Linked DNA regions of Sus scrofa. The protein of the gene in region 1 purifies or fractionates together with the protein of each later gene. This does not show direct contact. Links are inferred from orthologs where the notes say so. Each region holds a gene or a part of one and is shown in the gene's direction. Other genes may lie near its edges. The genes, in order: MAPK3, DUSP9 and DUSP6.

The links.
Region 2: the proteins of MAPK3 (region 1) and DUSP9 purify together in Homo sapiens (affinity purification with mass spectrometry; 4 studies listed by BioGRID and IntAct, with this or other methods). This does not show direct contact. The link is inferred for Sus scrofa from reciprocal best matches to the Homo sapiens genes MAPK3 and DUSP9.
Region 3: the proteins of MAPK3 (region 1) and DUSP6 purify together in Homo sapiens (affinity purification with mass spectrometry; 7 studies listed by BioGRID and IntAct, with this or other methods). This does not show direct contact. The link is inferred for Sus scrofa from reciprocal best matches to the Homo sapiens genes MAPK3 and DUSP6.

What each region holds. Positions count from the first base shown.
Region 1 is NC_010445.4:18,293,061-18,297,523, reverse strand, and holds part of MAPK3 (mitogen-activated protein kinase 3), read left to right. Parts: intron 1-2,020; coding exon 2,021-2,210; intron 2,211-2,390; coding exon 2,391-2,507; intron 2,508-2,815; coding exon 2,816-2,930; intron 2,931-3,328; coding exon 3,329-3,460; intron 3,461-3,901; coding exon 3,902-4,011; intron 4,012-4,094; coding exon 4,095-4,217; 3' UTR 4,218-4,249; intron 4,250-4,463.
Region 2 is NC_010461.5:124,407,123-124,412,942, forward strand, and holds the start of DUSP9 (dual specificity protein phosphatase 9), read left to right. Parts: upstream 1-2,418; 5' UTR 2,419-2,637; coding exon 2,638-2,770; intron 2,771-2,951; coding exon 2,952-3,359; intron 3,360-5,167; coding exon 5,168-5,617; intron 5,618-5,763; coding exon 5,764-5,820. UniProt on the Homo sapiens protein: Inactivates MAP kinases. Has a specificity for the ERK family.
Region 3 is NC_010447.5:93,301,269-93,307,037, forward strand, and holds the start of DUSP6 (dual specificity protein phosphatase 6), read left to right. Parts: upstream 1-1,789; 5' UTR 1,790-2,250; coding exon 2,251-2,650; intron 2,651-3,255; coding exon 3,256-3,693; intron 3,694-4,725; coding exon 4,726-5,033; 3' UTR 5,034-5,769. UniProt on the Homo sapiens protein: Dual specificity protein phosphatase, which mediates dephosphorylation and inactivation of MAP kinases. Has a specificity for the ERK family. Plays an important role in alleviating chronic postoperative pain.

The sequences.
Region 1 (4,463 bases):
CCCATTTCAAAGAGGAGGAGACTGAGGCTCAGAAAGGCCAACGTCAGGTGCCTGTGGCTGCCTCCACCCTTCCCCCAGATGAGAACCTGTCCTCCTGTCTCTGGGACTTCCCGCTTAGATCCCCACCCTGATCCCCCGTGGACTTGCACCTTGCCCAGGGAGGGTCAGCCTTGCCTTCGTTGCCCTCCCCCCATTGCCACTTTCCTAGCTTGTTGTCCACTTCCTGCCTGGCACTGTTAGCAGCTCGTAACACCCATTGCCTCTCCCCTACCCCACCCCCCAGTCCCAGTCCTCCACCCAAGAGTGGGGATTTGTACTGCAGTGTCTGCAGCCCCCACCACAAAGTGTGGGCAGGAAATCTCCATGCTTACCCCCAGCTTCCCGTGTGACCTTAACCAAGTCACTGCACCTTGCTGGGCTTCCTTATCTTTAAAACAGGGGAAGTTGCCGTCGTGGCTCGGCGGTAACAAACTCCACCAGTATCCAGGAGGATGCGAGTTCGATCCCCTGCCTCAGTGGGTTGGGGATCCAGCATTGTCATGAGCTGTGGTGTAGGTCGCAGACTCGGCTCGGATCCCGCGTGGTTGTGGCTGTGGCTGTGGCATGGGCTGGCAGCTGCAGCTCCCATTCTTCCCCTGGCCTGGGAACTTCCATATGCTGCAGGTGTGGCCCTAAAAAGCAGAAAGAAAAAACAACAACAAACAACGCAGCAGGGTTGGTCCGGATGTTCTCAGAAGGCCCTTTTGAGGCCGATTCTGACAGTCCTAATTTATTCTTCCAGAAACAAGTCATGTGACATTTCTTTATGTTTAATCTGTTTTATCTTAGGATCTAAAAGGACTCATATACCCCTCGATCTTCGGGTGTATGGCCAAGCACCCTGAGTAGGAGCCTGCTGTTGGGGGTTTCTCCTCATTTGTCTTGCACAAACCATGCCCAGAAGGCAGGCATTTATTTTTAAGCAAACATGTATTGCATGCCAGATGGTGTTCATACAGTATCTCATTTAACCTTCTCAACAGCCGTGCGGCTCAGGCTTTTATAACAGCCATACTAGTTTATGTTTGCCAAGCACTTAAAACATGCCTGGCGCTGGCTGGTGCTCCACGTGGATCATCTCAGCTTATCTCTACAACCCTCTCTAAAGAACAATTCCTTTTTTGTTTGTTTATTTGTTTTTTGGCCACACCAGTGGCGTGTGGAAGTTCCCAAAGCAGGGATCGACTCCAAGCCACAGCTGCAACCCACATGGCACCTGGGGTGACCCTGGTCCTTAACCTGCTGTGCCACAGCGGGAACTCCTCTAAAGAAGAGTTCTTTTCCCTACTTTACAGATGCGGAAATAGAGGCATAGATGGTCAAGGTCATAAGACCCATTAGCAGTGGAGGAGGGATTGAGATGCTGGCAGGTGACCTCCAGAGCTGATGCTCTTTTTTTTTTTGCATTTTAGGGCCGCACCCACAGCATATCAAGGTTCCCGGCCCAGGGGTCGAATCAGAGCTGCAGCTGCCGGCCACAGCCCACGGTAATGCCACATCTGAGCTGCATCTTCAACCTACACCACAGCTCACGGCAATGCCAGATCCTTAACCCACTGAGGCGAAGCCAGGGATTGAACCCGCATCCTCATGGATCCAGGTCGGGTTCCTTAACCACTGAGCCACAAAGGGAACTCCCCAGAGCTATTGTTCTTAACTGTGACGCTCTCCTGCCTCCCGCAGTGTATTGTCCTCCCTTTCCCAGTAGGGAAACGGAAGCCACGTAACTGAAGTGCTTTGCTCAGGGGTCACCAGCTGAGCGCCAGCAGAGGTCTTGAGCCCACCTGCTGAGTATGAGCCTTGCTCATATAAGCTGGCAGGTCTTTAAGTTAGGGTTAGGGTTAGGGTTAGCTGGCAGGTCTTTAAGTCCCAGGGGCATCAGCTGGAGGGGCGCATCCTAGTCACCAGAGCCTGTTTTTCTTAACCAAGTGCCACCTGCCGCCCCCACCTGGGGGGGGGGAATCTCTGGTACCACCTGCAGCTACATTGTGCAGGACCTGATGGAGACAGACCTGTACAAGTTGCTCAAAAGCCAGCAGCTGAGCAACGACCACATCTGCTACTTCCTCTACCAGATCCTGCGGGGCCTCAAATACATCCACTCCGCCAACGTGCTCCACCGGGATTTAAAGCCCTCCAACCTGCTCATCAACACCACCTGCGACCTTAAGGTCAGAGGGTTGGGTGCCCATCCTGCCCCTGGGTCTCAGGCTTCCCGGTGACCCGTAGCACCCAGGGGTGGCAGAGCATCACGAGCAAAGGGAACCGCACGGGCAGCGGCATGGCCCTGTGACTGCTTGGGCCCAGGCGGTCTTGAGCCCCGAGCTTTAGCAGCCTGGGTTGCCTTCCAGATCTGTGACTTTGGCCTTGCCCGGATCGCGGATCCCGAGCATGACCACACTGGCTTCTTGACGGAATATGTGGCCACGCGCTGGTACCGGGCCCCAGAGATCATGCTTAACTCCAAGGTAGCCCCCCCGCCCCCACAACCCATGAAGTGAAAGGGCCGGGTTCCAGAAAGCCCTGGAGTCGCCTCTGAGCCAGGCACTGACATCCCCCGTGCCCGTATGCAGGAAGTCCACCTCCCGGGCCTTGTCACCTCATTCTGGTTCTTGGGAACAAAACTGCAGATTAGCTTCTCTGGGCCTCTGCCCTCTGCCTCCCTGGCTGGCCTTGAACCTAGATTTCAGGGATGGGGGCGGGAGGTGGCTTGGCCCAAACAGCAGGGCCCTGTTGAGACTGGGGTGGGAGCCTGCCACTTTCTCCTCCTCCCCAGGGCTACACCAAGTCCATAGACATTTGGTCTGTGGGCTGCATTCTGGCTGAGATGCTCTCCAACCGGCCTATCTTCCCGGGCAAGCACTACCTGGACCAGCTCAACCACATTCTGGGTGAGGGGGGGCCTGGCCAGCTGGGTCGGGGCGGGGGATTAGCCTATTGGAGGTGAGATTTCTTTAAAGGTCAGGGTCAGTGTCCGAGAGTCTGTGAGAGGCAGGTCGGGGGGACCACGGTGTGTGCAGCCCCTTGAGCATTTCACAGTATTTCACTTGAGAGTGTCCCCCTTGGATAGATGGGAACAGCAAGACTACATCTGCCCCACACTTAGGAAAAGCTAGAGCTGGGATTTGAACCTAGGGCTGCCCAGAGCCAGACCTCTTGCTCTTTGCCAGCGCAGTATCGGCTGTGAGATAATTGTCGTCCTCGAGTAAGTTGGTAGGAGCGTTTGTTCTTGGCTCCTTTCGTTCCCAGAAGGAATAGGCTGCTCACCGGGTCACCTGCTTACCCACAGGTATCCTGGGCTCCCCATCCCAGGAGGACCTGAATTGTATCATCAACATGAAGGCCCGAAACTACCTGCAGTCTCTGCCCTCCAAGACCAAGGTGGCCTGGGCCAAGCTTTTCCCCAAGTCGGACCCCAAAGGTGAGAGAAGCGTGGGAGCCAGTGTGTGTTTGGTAAAAACTGGGTGCATGGAGTTCCTGTCGTGGCTCAGTGGTTAATGAATCTGACTAGGAACCATGAGGTGGCGGGTTCGATCCCTGGCCTCGCTCAGTGGGTTAAGGAGCCGGCGTTGCCAGGAGCTGTGGTGTAGGTCGCAGACGCGGCTCAGATCCCGAGTTACTGTGAGCTGTGGCGTAGGCCAACAGCTACAGCTCTGACTGGACCCCTAGCCTGGGAACCTCCATATGCCGCAGGTGCGGCCCTAGAAAAGGCAAAAAGACAAAAAAAACCTGGGTGCAGGGGAAAGTACATGAGCCCTGCAGCTGCCTGAGTAGACAGGCCGCTGGACACAGAGAAGCAAAGTAATGCTTCTGGGAGCTCCTCTGGCCCTCCCTTTGACCCCTGACCCCTGCCCTTCCCTAGCTCTTGACCTGCTGGACCGGATGTTGACCTTTAACCCCAACAAACGGATCACAGTGGAGGAAGCACTGGCTCATCCTTACCTGGAGCAGTACTACGACCCAACAGATGAGGTGGGCCAGCCAGAGAGGCAGGCCGGATGGGTGGGCACCCCTGGGTCCCTGTCCTGAGCCTCCCCGCCTCTTTGCCACCTCAGCCAGTGGCCGAAGAGCCTTTCACCTTCGACATGGAGCTGGATGATCTACCCAAGGAGCGGCTGAAGGAACTCATCTTCCAGGAAACAGCCCGCTTCCAGCCCGGAGGGCTGGAGGCCCCCTAACCTGGACAGATGCCTCTGCTCTCTGGGGCCTGGTGAGTGCCCCGCAACCACCCACGCCCAGAATCCCCCTGAGAGTAGGGCGCCCAGCAGGCCCCCACGCAGTCCCAAGCTTTCCCATATCCACAAGCCACAGGTGTGGTGGCAACAGAAGGACCAGAGCCAGCCTCGTCCACAGACCCGGTGGTCCCCTCCGGCCCCACACGTCTCCCATCTATCAACCCCTGGCAACTCCAGCCCCAGCGAGCG
Region 2 (5,820 bases), on another chromosome or scaffold:
CCCCTCCTGAACGCTCTGTCCCCGCGGGAGGGCTGGCCAGCAGGGGTCTGGAGCGAGGCGCGGGGGAGGGCTCCCTTGGAGCCTAGCTTCCCCTCCCCTCGCCACTGCAGAAGTGGCCTCCCTCCTCCTCCTAACTTCCCAGCCTGGCTCTGGTCACCTCCCCCAGGGAGCCCTCTCCAGGAAGCACGCTTGGGCACCTCAGGAGCTCCCAGCTCTCCAGGGGTCCACGACCCTTCTCTCCCACCACACTAAGCCCCCTGGAGAGGGCCCTGGCGGGGGCTGCCACCCCCACTCCCCACAGCACTGCCGAGCCAGGTGCCCTAGGCTGGCACACTGACGGGCCCCTTGGTGCCTTCAGCCCCTGCCCACCCCTGGGCTCCTGCCCGCAGCTGCAGCAGGCCAGTGGGCAGGTGGCAGCCCAGCTCTGCCTCTGGGAGCTGGGATGTAAGAGAAAGGAAGTGCCCCCACCTGGGCACTGCGGTCTGGAGCACAGAGGAGGGAGAGAGAAGCCTGCCCCAGGAAGGTGCCTGGAGGGGTGAGGAAGGAAGAGTATTGGGACAGGCTGCAGGTGGGGGGGGGGAGGCTGAGGCTGGAGGGAATAGGGGCACAGCCCAGCTGCCTGAGGCGCCTGGCTGCAGGCGGTCCCAGACACCGGGACTGATGGGAGGCAGGGGGCCGCTAGAGGCCCCTCGGAGGCGCCCTGGCTCTCTGCAACCTGCGTTACCTCCCAAGTGGTCTCATCGGACTTTGTGGTCCCAGCGAGGAGTGAGCGTTTGGACTGAGCCCTCCTAAAGTGGCTTTGCACACTTCACTCCCTAGTTCCAGGTCTTGTGTGCATCGCTCTGCCTTCTTTTACTGAGTTCTTTGGGGTAGATTTCCCAAAGTGGCCAGAGGGTGTGGCTGGCATTTCTTCTTAGCTTTGGATGCATGTCACCGGATTAATTTCCAAAAGGGCCATACCAGCAGAGAACCCTCTAGAAACCAGCAATCGAGTGGCAGGCCGATTTCACAGCATCCTTGCCAGCACTGGGTGTTCTCATTTTGAGACCCCGTTCCCAGTGTAGCAGGTGGGAGGTGTTAGCCTGTGTTTGTCATTCACTCGCCTGCGGTGCTCTCCCTGGGTCCCATCTCCCCGCCCACGCGGTCTCTTCTGGTCCCTTGGCCATTTATCTATTGGAGCCTTAACCTTTTGATTAACTTGTATGAGCTTTATCTTATCTGCTGCACATTTTCCTTCGGCCCTGCTATTTGCTTTAGATGGGTTTTAAGCAGAGAAGGGACACAGAGCCAGACTTTTCAGAAAGCTCCCCCACCTTATTTCATTGTCTCAGCCCTTATCATGCCCCGTATTATCTTGTTCGGTCTCCCCGTTTATTGCCGGCCTGTCCCGCTAGCCGCTAGCCGGGGCGTGCCGGGCGAGCAGGGGCCAGTGTGTCCCGTCTGTTGATCCTCCTGTGTCCATGGAAGGCTTGGAGGCCCCCCGGCCTTCGCTGAGTGGATAAGCTGCGCGGGACGGTGCCGAGGAGGTGCGAGGCAGCCGGGAGGTAGGGCAAGGGCCTTGGAAGCTGTGAGGATGCCCTGTGCCAGGGCAGGGGGGAGAGGGGACAGCACAGGGGCGGGAGACATTGAAGTCGAAAGTACGCGGCTCTTGCCGAGAAAGGAGGCAAAGCCAGAAGCTGGGGCGGCTGCCAGGATCCATAGCGCGGGAAGAGCAGAGCTGTGGGCCTGAGCAGCAGGGGTTTTGGGTGCTGCTTCCTCCTCCCCTCCGTGATTTCAGGGGCCTCCCCTGGTAGCCCAAGGTGGTGGCTCTGATGAGCCTGTTATGTAGACAGGGCCACTCAAGGCCAGTCAGGGCTCAGGATAGTCCCGGGTCCCCCCAGATGAGTAGAGCTGGAGGCAGCCTCTGGGGCAGGGGCGCTGGGCCCTTGTCCTTACCCCTCCCCCTTCCTCCAGGGGCCTGACTGGCGCCGGCCGGGGGAGCTGCAGCTGGTCCCCTGCTGGGCCCCTGACCTGCCCTTGGCCTCTGCCCTGGCCCTGTCCCGCTTCGGTGGAAGCCCCGGCTCAGCGCGCCACTTGCAGGGCCCACTCAACTGCTTTCACTGGCACTCGTTGGCTCGCTGGCCCCCTGAGCCCGCCCCCGCCGCCCCGCCCCTCTAAACGGCAACTCCACGTCCAAAGGCAGCGGCTTCCAAGGTGGAAGCTGGGTCCTGCTGCCAGGAAGCGGCCAGTGTGCCGGCGGTGGTGGACTCGGCCTCCACGTGCGCGCCTGCTCCGCCGGCCCGCCCTCTTCCCAGTGGCCGGGCCCGAGGACACCCTGCCCGGGGCCAGTGCCCCACATCCTGCGGTGGCCGTGGCTGGGACGTCCATGCACGGCCGCTCGCCGCCGGATCACGCTCCAGGTCTCTCTCCTTTTGTTTCCTGCGGGTTGGGGGAGGCAGCTCCGAGAGGTCCAGCCGAGGTCCAGCCCCCCCCTCGGCACCACCTCTGTTCCCCAGGCTGCCTGGCCACGGGGGGCTCTCGGCCTCGCCCCCCTCAGGCGAGCGTGCGCTCACACCCGCCCCCAAAGTTGGAAGCCAGAAAGTGGAGAGAGTGCGTGCGGGCGCGGCGGGCAGGCGGAGTGAGAGATGCGGAAAGGGGATGTGGGGGAAGGTGGCTGTGGCCTTGGGCCCCCCAGGAGGAGCCAGGACGGGACACGGCGCTTGGCTCTGGCTCTGGAAGGGGCCGTTGGACGCCCAGCTGCCCTCTTCTGCGGGACCGAGGAGCAGCGCGGGTATTTGTCTAGGGGCGTGCCAGAGGAGGATTGGGCGGTAGAAGGGTGTCCCCGGGGGACCCCAGCCTCCCGTTTTGGGGACACGGGGTTGGCTTCACGTCTTGGCCCCTGGGCCCGCGGCCCTTCGCGGCCGGGCGCGAAGGACACGGGCTCACGTCGAGCTCCTTCCCTCTCTCTGCAGCTCCTGAGACCCGATCTGCCGGGAGCCGGGAGCCCATGGAGGGTCTGGGCCGCTCCTGCCTGTGGCTGCGCCGGGAGCTGTCGCCCCCGCGGCCGCGGCTGCTGCTCCTGGACTGCCGCAGCCGGGAGCTGTACGAGTCGGCGCGCATCGGCGGGGCGCTGAGCGTGGCCTTGCCCGCGCTGCTCCTGCGCCGCCTGCGGCGGGGGAGCCTGTCGGTTCGCTCGCTGCTGCCCGGGCCCCCGCTGCAGCCGCCCCCGCCCGCCCCAGTGCTCCTGTACGACCAGGGCGGGGGCCGGCACAGGCGCGGGGAGGCAGAGGCCGAAGCCGAGGAATGGGAGGCCGAGTCAGTGCTGGGGACCCTGCTCCAGAAGCTGCGAGAGGAAGGCTACCTGGCGTACTACCTGCAGGGTAGGTGCGGGTGGTGGCCCGGCGGGCACCAGCCTGGGGAGGACCCTGGCCCAGGGGAAGCATTATGCCTTCTGAGGGCAGTCATAATTCCTTTGACCTTGGGCGAGTCTGGCCTCATTTTGTCTAAAGTGGAGGTGGGACCCTGACCGTAACCTTGGGGAAGTCCTTCACTCTTGGGAGCCCCCGTTTCTGAGCCTGGAAGATGGGGCGAATCGGGCCGGCCTCCAGAATAGAGGATCCACGGAGGTCCCGCTGCGGCACAGTGGGTTCACAATCTGGCTTGTCTCTGTGGAGGCACTGGATCCATCCCCAGCCGTCACAGTGGCTAAGGATATGGTATTGCTGCAGCTGTTGCTCAGATTCCCTGGCCCCGGGATTCCATATGCCTCGGGTGCAGCTGAAAAAAAGAAAAAAAAAAAAAAAAGGAGTTCCCCTTGTGGCTCAGCTGGTTAAGAATCTGAATAATATCCATGAGGGTGCGGGCTCAACCCCTGGCCTCACTCAGTGGGTTTAAAAAAAGGAAAATAAAAGGGAGTTCCCGTTGTGGCTCAGCGGTAACAAACCCAACTAGTATCCGTGAGGACGCGGGTTCGATCCCTGGCCTCGCTCAGTGGGTTAAGGATCCGGCATTGCCGTGAGCTGGGGTGCAGGCCACACACACGACACGGATCCCGCGTTGCTGGGGCTGTGGTGTAGACCGGCAGCTACAGCTCCGATTGGACCCCTGGCCTGGGAATCTCCACTTGCTGCAGGTGCGGCCCTAAAAAGACCCCCCCCCAAAAAAAAGGAATAGAGGACCCAGTGTGGGCTCCGAGCCCTATCCCCACCTCCCCCAGCTGCTCAGCCATGGGCAAGGGAGGCAGGCGCTGGGACAAATCCCACTCTGCAAAGGGTCTGGAGAGGGCAGAGGCGGGGAGAGAGGGAGAGAGGCAGTGAAGGCAAGAAGAGGCAGAGACCTGGCCCCCCTATAGTCTTGGCAGGGCTTGGGGGTGGAGGGGAGGTGGGCTGATGCAGGCACACTGGCTCCTTGCCAAGCCAAACACCCCCAGAGATCCAGGGTAGCAACAGGATGCCCATGAACCTGCAGAGCCAGCTGCCCCCCCGCCCCGCCCCGCCCCAAGGAGGTTCGTTGAACCGTCGTCACTTGCTCCATTCTGAGTGCACCAGGATATAGAAATACAGAAAACACTGCGTTTCCAGCCCCCCCCCCCCCCGCACCCGAGGAAATCGTAGTTATTTGCAGGTGGAGGTGTGCGCCTCTTGGGACTTTGGGGCCATGCAGGCGGAGTGCTACACTCTCCCAGGCCTTCTGCCTCTTGGGGCCCCAGCTTCATCCCTGGAGGCAGCACAGACATGGCTGTCACCTGGTCTCTGCCCTCGAGTGCTCCCTGGTCAGGCTGGATCGGGAGACACCCAGGCAGAGAACTCACATCCGACCGTTTCCTCTTCTTTAACTGATGGCTGCTGTCCTCCCCAAGGCTCTCAGGACATCTAAACTCCATGGAGCCTTCCTGCCTGCCTTGGCTCGGCCCCCGGGGTTGTTATAGCCTCTTGGGGTGCCCTGCCTGGGCCTGGCATCTTGCAGCGGCGGTGGGCGCTGGTCCTGAGCCAGCATGGCTGGGCTGTCCCTAGCGCACCACCCGGGACAGCAGGGTAGGTCAGGCCGCTGGCCTGCAGGTTCTCTTTGGAGACGGCTGCGAGCCCCTTGGGGCACTGAGATGGTCCGGGCTCGCTTTCCTCTCCTCAGCCAGAACACTTGGCTGCCCAGGAGGCCAGGTCCATAGGACCCTCCCCTTGTCCCCTCCTAGGTGGCTTCAGCAGATTCCAGGCCGAATGCCCTCACCTGTGTGAGACCAGCCTCAACAGCCGTGGGGGCCCCAGTGCAGCCCCGGTGCCCAGCCCCGTGGTGGGGCTGGGTGGCCTGTGTCTGGGCTCCGACTGCTCCGATGGGGAATCTGAGCCCGACCGCGACTCCATGAGCTGCGGCCTGGATTCGGAGGGCGCCACGCCCCCCCCAGCAGGGCTGCTGCCGTCCTTCCCCGTCCAGATCCTGCCCAACCTGTACCTGGGCAGTGCCCGGGATTCAGCCAATGTGGAGAGCTTGGCCAAGCTCGGCATCCGCTACATCCTCAACGTCACCCCCAACCTCCCGAACCTCTTCGAGAAGAATGGTGACTTTCACTACAAGCAGATCCCCATCTCGGACCACTGGAGCCAGAACCTGTCCCAGTTCTTTCCTGAGGCCATCGCCTTCATCGGTGAGTCCCCCGCCCGCGCCTTCCCTCTGGCCCTCGCTCTCGGGGCTCCTCCGCCCTCGGGCCCCCGACGGCCTCGAGGGGCCCTCCGGGAGGCCGCCCGCGCCCGCGCCTCACGGCCGCGCTCTGCCCCCCCCCGCCCCCCCCAGACGAGGCCTTGTCCCAGAACTGCGGGGTGCTTGTTCACTGCCTGGCGGGCGTCAGCC
Region 3 (5,769 bases), on another chromosome or scaffold:
CCCCGCCGAGCCGCTGCCCCCGCTTCCGCCTCCGCCGCCGCGGCGGGACAATGCGCAGCCTCTTTTCCGCCGCGGGTTCGGGAGGGGCAGCCGGATTAGGGCCCGCGCCTTCCGGCCGCAGCCCCCAGCCCCACCCGCCCCGCCTGCGCGCCGCGCCGGCCGCACACAGGTGGTTTTCCGCTCGGGAGCGCCAGGCCCGGTGCTTGTATGTAACAATAGAGTTCTGCGCGCCGGGAATGCGCCTCCCCGCCGCCACGGCGGCCCCGGCCCGCCACGCCTCCATCCGGCCCCCAGCCGCCCGCCCTGCCCCGCGGTCCCCCGGCCGAGGGGGCCTGCCCGGCACCTCTCCAATTACCTGCGAGCCCTGCACCGTGGCGGAGACGTTTCCCAGGACTCCCAGCTCGCCTCGGGAGCGAGGGGGGCCCGGCTGGCGTTCCTCCTTAGCCCACACCTGCCCCAGACCCCCAAGTCCCACCCTGGGCCCCCCCACCTGCCTTGGGGGTCGCCCGGCGCCCCCGCCCGCTGAACGCGGAGGCGGAGGCGGCGGGCGCCGGCAAGGAGCGCAACGCGCAGGAGCGGGCGGTGCTGTGCGAGTCGCCGGCGACGCAGGGGAGGGGGCTGCTGCCGCGCAGGGAAGAGGGTAACCCCGCGCGGGATGTCGAGCGTGGGGGCGGGCGGCCTCTCCTCTGACAAGCCTCTGGGTTTACAGTAGGCAATGCGCGGAGCTCTCCTGAGCCCCCGCGGCCTGCCGGCCTCGCAGGAAGACTTCCTCACGCTTTGCGGATGGTGGGGGCTGCCTGCCCGGCTCCGGACGCCCTGGTGCACCTAGCCCAGGCAGCCCCGCCAGGCCGGCTCCTCTGTCGGAAGCTGAGCTCGCTGCTCAGAAATGATGAAGGAGCGCGACCCCCGCCGCGTGCAGTAGGTGACGGCGGGTGAGGGGGTCGGATCCCCGGAACAATGGCTCATAACGCCCCCACGCCGCCTGAGAGGAATAAAAGCACCGGATTGCCCAACGAGTTTGTTTCTACAGCCTCCACGGTTTTTAAAAAATAATTAAAGCGCTATTAAAAAAAAAAAAAAAGCTTGCTTTCTATTATCTGGACAACCAAGCATTTGTTTGTTTGCTTGCTTAAAAATGTTTCAACAAAACCCTGGTTTGTCTCCAAAGATGTTGGATTAGCATTTAACACCTCATCGGTCACTAAAGCCCAGGCAGTCCACCAGCCCCAACACAGTCTCGGCTAAAAGAACATCGAAGCAAACAGAGCCGGGCTTTTTAAACTGGCAAACAAATGCCACACACTGCCTACGGGAGGAGGGGGAGGTTAAAGTGAACTCCAGTCCAAAGGAGTTTAAAGGGAATAAAAGCGAAGAAGTCAGCACTAGTTTCCCTAAAGCTAGCTTGCGCGCACAGGCGTCGCGAACAACGGCTTTTGTGCCTGCTAATTGCACCATTTGTGCGCAAAAGTTCCGACGCTAAGTGTGAACTCTCAACAGAAGGAAACATGAGACAACTGAAGTGCCCTGGTTTGTGTGCCCTGCTCCTCCTCCGCCGCCGCCTCCCCTTCTTTCTCCTTCCTCCCGCCGAGCCCGCTGTTGCAGCTTGTTTGCACTGGGGCTTATCCGGAGCGGAAATTCCTTTCCGTTTTTGTGAATGACAAACTCATTAACAATTCATCAACACAACCTGTTCCAGCCGGCCCGTCCCCACGGCAACAGCCCCTTCCGCAGCGTGCTCATTGGCTGGCGGGGAGAATGTATCCATTGAGACGCTCGCTGTTTGTATCCATTGAGGAGCTGCCTCGCGCAGGGGGTGTGCGAGGGCTGAGTCCAAGGGAGAGTGAGCAAATCCAGGCTTTAATAATCCGAGGAGAAAGCCGCCCGGGTGGATTTGAGGTGCAGTTTGGAGGGAGGGCTCAGGAGCTGCTGGACTTTTTTTTTTTCCTCTCCTCTCAGTAGCACGAAGTCCGAATTAATTGGATTTCATTCACCGGGGAGGAACAAAACTGTCTGGGCAGCTTCATTCAAAGAGATTCATTGACACCAAGAGCGTGCGGCTGCAGCCGGGTGCAGAGGGAACCGCCGGCTTACTTCTGTCTCGCTTGCCCCAACCGCTAACCCGGCTCGGGAAAGGAGAGGTGGCATTAAACCCCGCTCCAAGAGCGGCGGCTTTGGCGCGGCGCGCTCGGCCTATGCCTGCCCCGAGGGGAGTCTGGTAGGCACCTCGCCCTCTCCGGCCGCTCGACCCCCATGATAGATACGCTCAGACCCGTGCCCTTCGCGTCGGAGATGGCGATTAGCAAGACGGTAGCGTGGCTCAACGAGCAGCTGGAGCTGGGCAACGAGCGGCTGCTGCTGATGGACTGCCGGCCGCAGGAGCTGTACGAGTCGTCGCACATCGAGTCGGCCATCAACGTGGCCATCCCCGGCATCATGCTGCGGCGCCTGCAGAAGGGCAACCTGCCGGTGCGCGCGCTCTTCACGCGCGGCGAGGACCGGGACCGCTTCACCCGGCGCTGCGGCACCGACACCGTGGTGCTCTACGATGAGAGCAGCAGCGACTGGAACGAGAATACGGGCGGCGAGTCGGTGCTCGGGCTGCTGCTCAAGAAGCTCAAGGACGAGGGCTGCCGGGCGTTCTACCTAGAAGGTACGCGCCGGGGGCGTCCCGCGCCTGGGGCAGGGCGGGGGACCCCGGCTGCGGGTGCAGGCGGGGCGCGCCGACTGGAAGCGCCCCTGTGGCGCTTGGCTGGCGCTTCAGAGCCGCGCTGTGCGCCAGGAGCTGTCTGCCGGCTCCCGGCGGCGAATCTCTCGCGGCCCGCGAGCCGGGCCCGCGCGGAATCGACCCGCTTCCGGCCACAGGCACGCGTCGTTTCTTTGGAACTAGCTCTTCTTTTTCCTACCCGGCATATCCCCCACTTTCCCTCTACGTTTGATTTTGAATTCAGATTTCGCAGGACTGCAGAGGCCGTGGGGGTGCAGGCAGGCACCTTCTGGCACTTGTAGATACTCAGAAAAGTTGCCATTTTGTGCATTTCCGGATTCAAAAAAATAAGGGTTCCCAGGGGAGGCGGGCCTGTTCGTTCTGTTCCCAAGGGTGCACCTTTAAGTGCCTTTCGCCTGTATTTGTCTCTGTGTTTGGGGGGTGGGGGGGTAAGGTGCTGTGGTGTGTTTCTGAGCCCGGCTGCGGCTCTCCAACCTGTGAAAACTACTACGGTATCTCGGGTTACAAGATTGCTTTTCTCGTCCTGGCAGGTGGTTTCAGTAAGTTCCAAGCCGAGTTCGCCCTGCACTGCGAGACCAATCTAGACGGCTCGTGTAGCAGCAGCTCCCCGCCGTTGCCAGTTCTGGGGCTCGGGGGCCTGCGGATCAGCTCCGACTCCTCCTCGGACATTGAGTCTGACCTTGACCGAGACCCCAATAGTGCAACAGACTCCGATGGCAGCCCGCTGTCCAACAGCCAGCCTTCTTTCCCCGTGGAGATCTTGCCCTTCCTCTACTTGGGCTGTGCCAAGGACTCCACCAACCTGGACGTGTTAGAGGAGTTCGGCATCAAGTACATCTTGAACGTCACCCCCAACTTGCCGAACCTCTTTGAGAACGCAGGAGAGTTCAAATACAAGCAGATCCCCATCTCTGATCACTGGAGCCAAAACCTGTCCCAGTTTTTCCCTGAGGCCATTTCTTTCATAGGTGAGACTAATAGCCCTCACGCAGCCTTTTAAATGCAAAATTCAGAACCATTCCTAGAGTTCGAGGGGTTCACCTTTCTTGTTGCTAACTTGTGGGACTGCAGGTCTCTACGTTCCAAGGGCATTCTCAATTCTGTCGCTTAGCTTCTTGTTAAGAAAAAGGGCCTTTTGACAAGGCGGCAGGCCACAGGTGTATTTGAAACGCTGTCTGCTTCTTGACCTGGAATTCAGTCACTGGAAAGGGGGAGGGCACTCAGAAGGAGACAGCAGAATCCCCCCCACCCATCTTTGGACTCAAGGAGGGCCGGGTCCCAGAGGTACACAGGGTAGACAGGAATTCTAGCATGGCTTTGTAATTTTAAAAGCTCTTCGAGTTGCAGGACACCACGGTGTCCAAAAGCCCTGTGAATGCTAGATGTTGTGATCCAGCTGGACGTTCCTGTGACACTGCTTAGCAGTGAGACGGCGAGGGTAACCTGAGCACAGCAGGAAGGACTGTGGGCCGAGAGCCTGGAGAAGCGAATCTCCAGGCATTGTAATGCATTTCCTATTACAAAGGAACTCATTTTCAGGCCATGTCGACATCCTGTTCCTCCTAATGGGCTGTCCCCTGTGACTTCCCTCTCTCTTTTAAAATGCCTGAATACCTCCATTGTTAGCGGCACAACAGTTGGAGAATAATTTAATAGACCCTTGCAGTCTGCTTGTCTGTATAAAAGGCATTCACGACCATATTGCAGGGTTTCTGGTATTCACATGCTGAGGCAAAGAATGCACACATTAAGGAGTTTTTTGTTGGCAGAAACTTAATACAAAAGCTCCCTTTTCAGAAAATATCTGAAATATGTAATTGTGCCCAGTGTACATGTTTTATCGCAGGAATACATTTTCTGCTGCCTGCAGGGCTCAACTGCCACACACGATTATTTTTTATCTTTATTATTACTGCTGTTACTCAGTTTCGAGACTGAGCACTCACAAAGGGTGGTTTTCGGTCTACTGACATTTTGCCTTTCTTTTTGTGTGTTTCCAGATGAAGCCCGGGGCAAAAATTGTGGTGTCTTGGTGCATTGCTTGGCCGGCATCAGCCGCTCGGTCACTGTGACTGTGGCTTATCTTATGCAAAAGCTCAACCTGTCGATGAATGATGCTTATGACATTGTGAAGATGAAGAAATCCAACATCTCCCCCAACTTCAACTTCATGGGCCAGCTGCTGGACTTCGAGAGGACGCTGGGACTCAGCAGCCCCTGTGACAACCGCGTCCCCGCCCAGCAGCTCTATTTCACCACCCCCTCCAACCAGAACGTCTACCAGGTGGACTCCCTGCAATCCACGTGAAAGGCCCCACGCTGGGATGTGTCCGTTCCTTTAGCAGTTTCTCTTAGCAGCATCCACTGGGCTGCTTTCTTTGTATGTGGCCCCAGGTGTCACCATGACACCAGCTGTCTGTGTTAGACAAGGTTATCACGTGTGGAATTGGCTATTACAAAGGGAGAGGTTTGCTCCCTGCTCGTTGGAAGAACAGGCCATGCTGTATAGATAGGGGCAGTAGGTTTGGTCCACACCCATGTGTACAGCCTACCCCTGCAGGGACTGGAACTCGAGGACTTCCAGGTATATAGGGTAGGACCAAATGGTAGGTGGGAGCATGAGCTCTTTAGGGCCTCGTATGACTGTTTCCTTTTGCGTCTGGAACTGACTCTATCTTGTCTTCAGTGAAGACCGATGCAATGTTGCATATAGAGGAGCCAAAGAGAGGTTTCAGCTCTGTATTTGTAGTATCAGTTTGCAAAAAATGAAAATAAATAATAACGCAATCAAATGAATCTGATACTCCATTTGATTATTGTAAATATTTGATCTTAAATCCCTTGACAGTGTTTGTTTGAATTGTGTTTGTTTTTCCTTTGATGGGTTTAGAAAAAAATCATCCAAAGGGGGAGAGAGCAGTATACCACTTCTTCAAACAACAAAATAGAAACTTTGGCTCTTTCCTAATCCAAAGGATATATTTGCAGCATGCGCAGCTTCACCAGTCCTGAATGATATTTTCATGGACACTGTTATCACACAG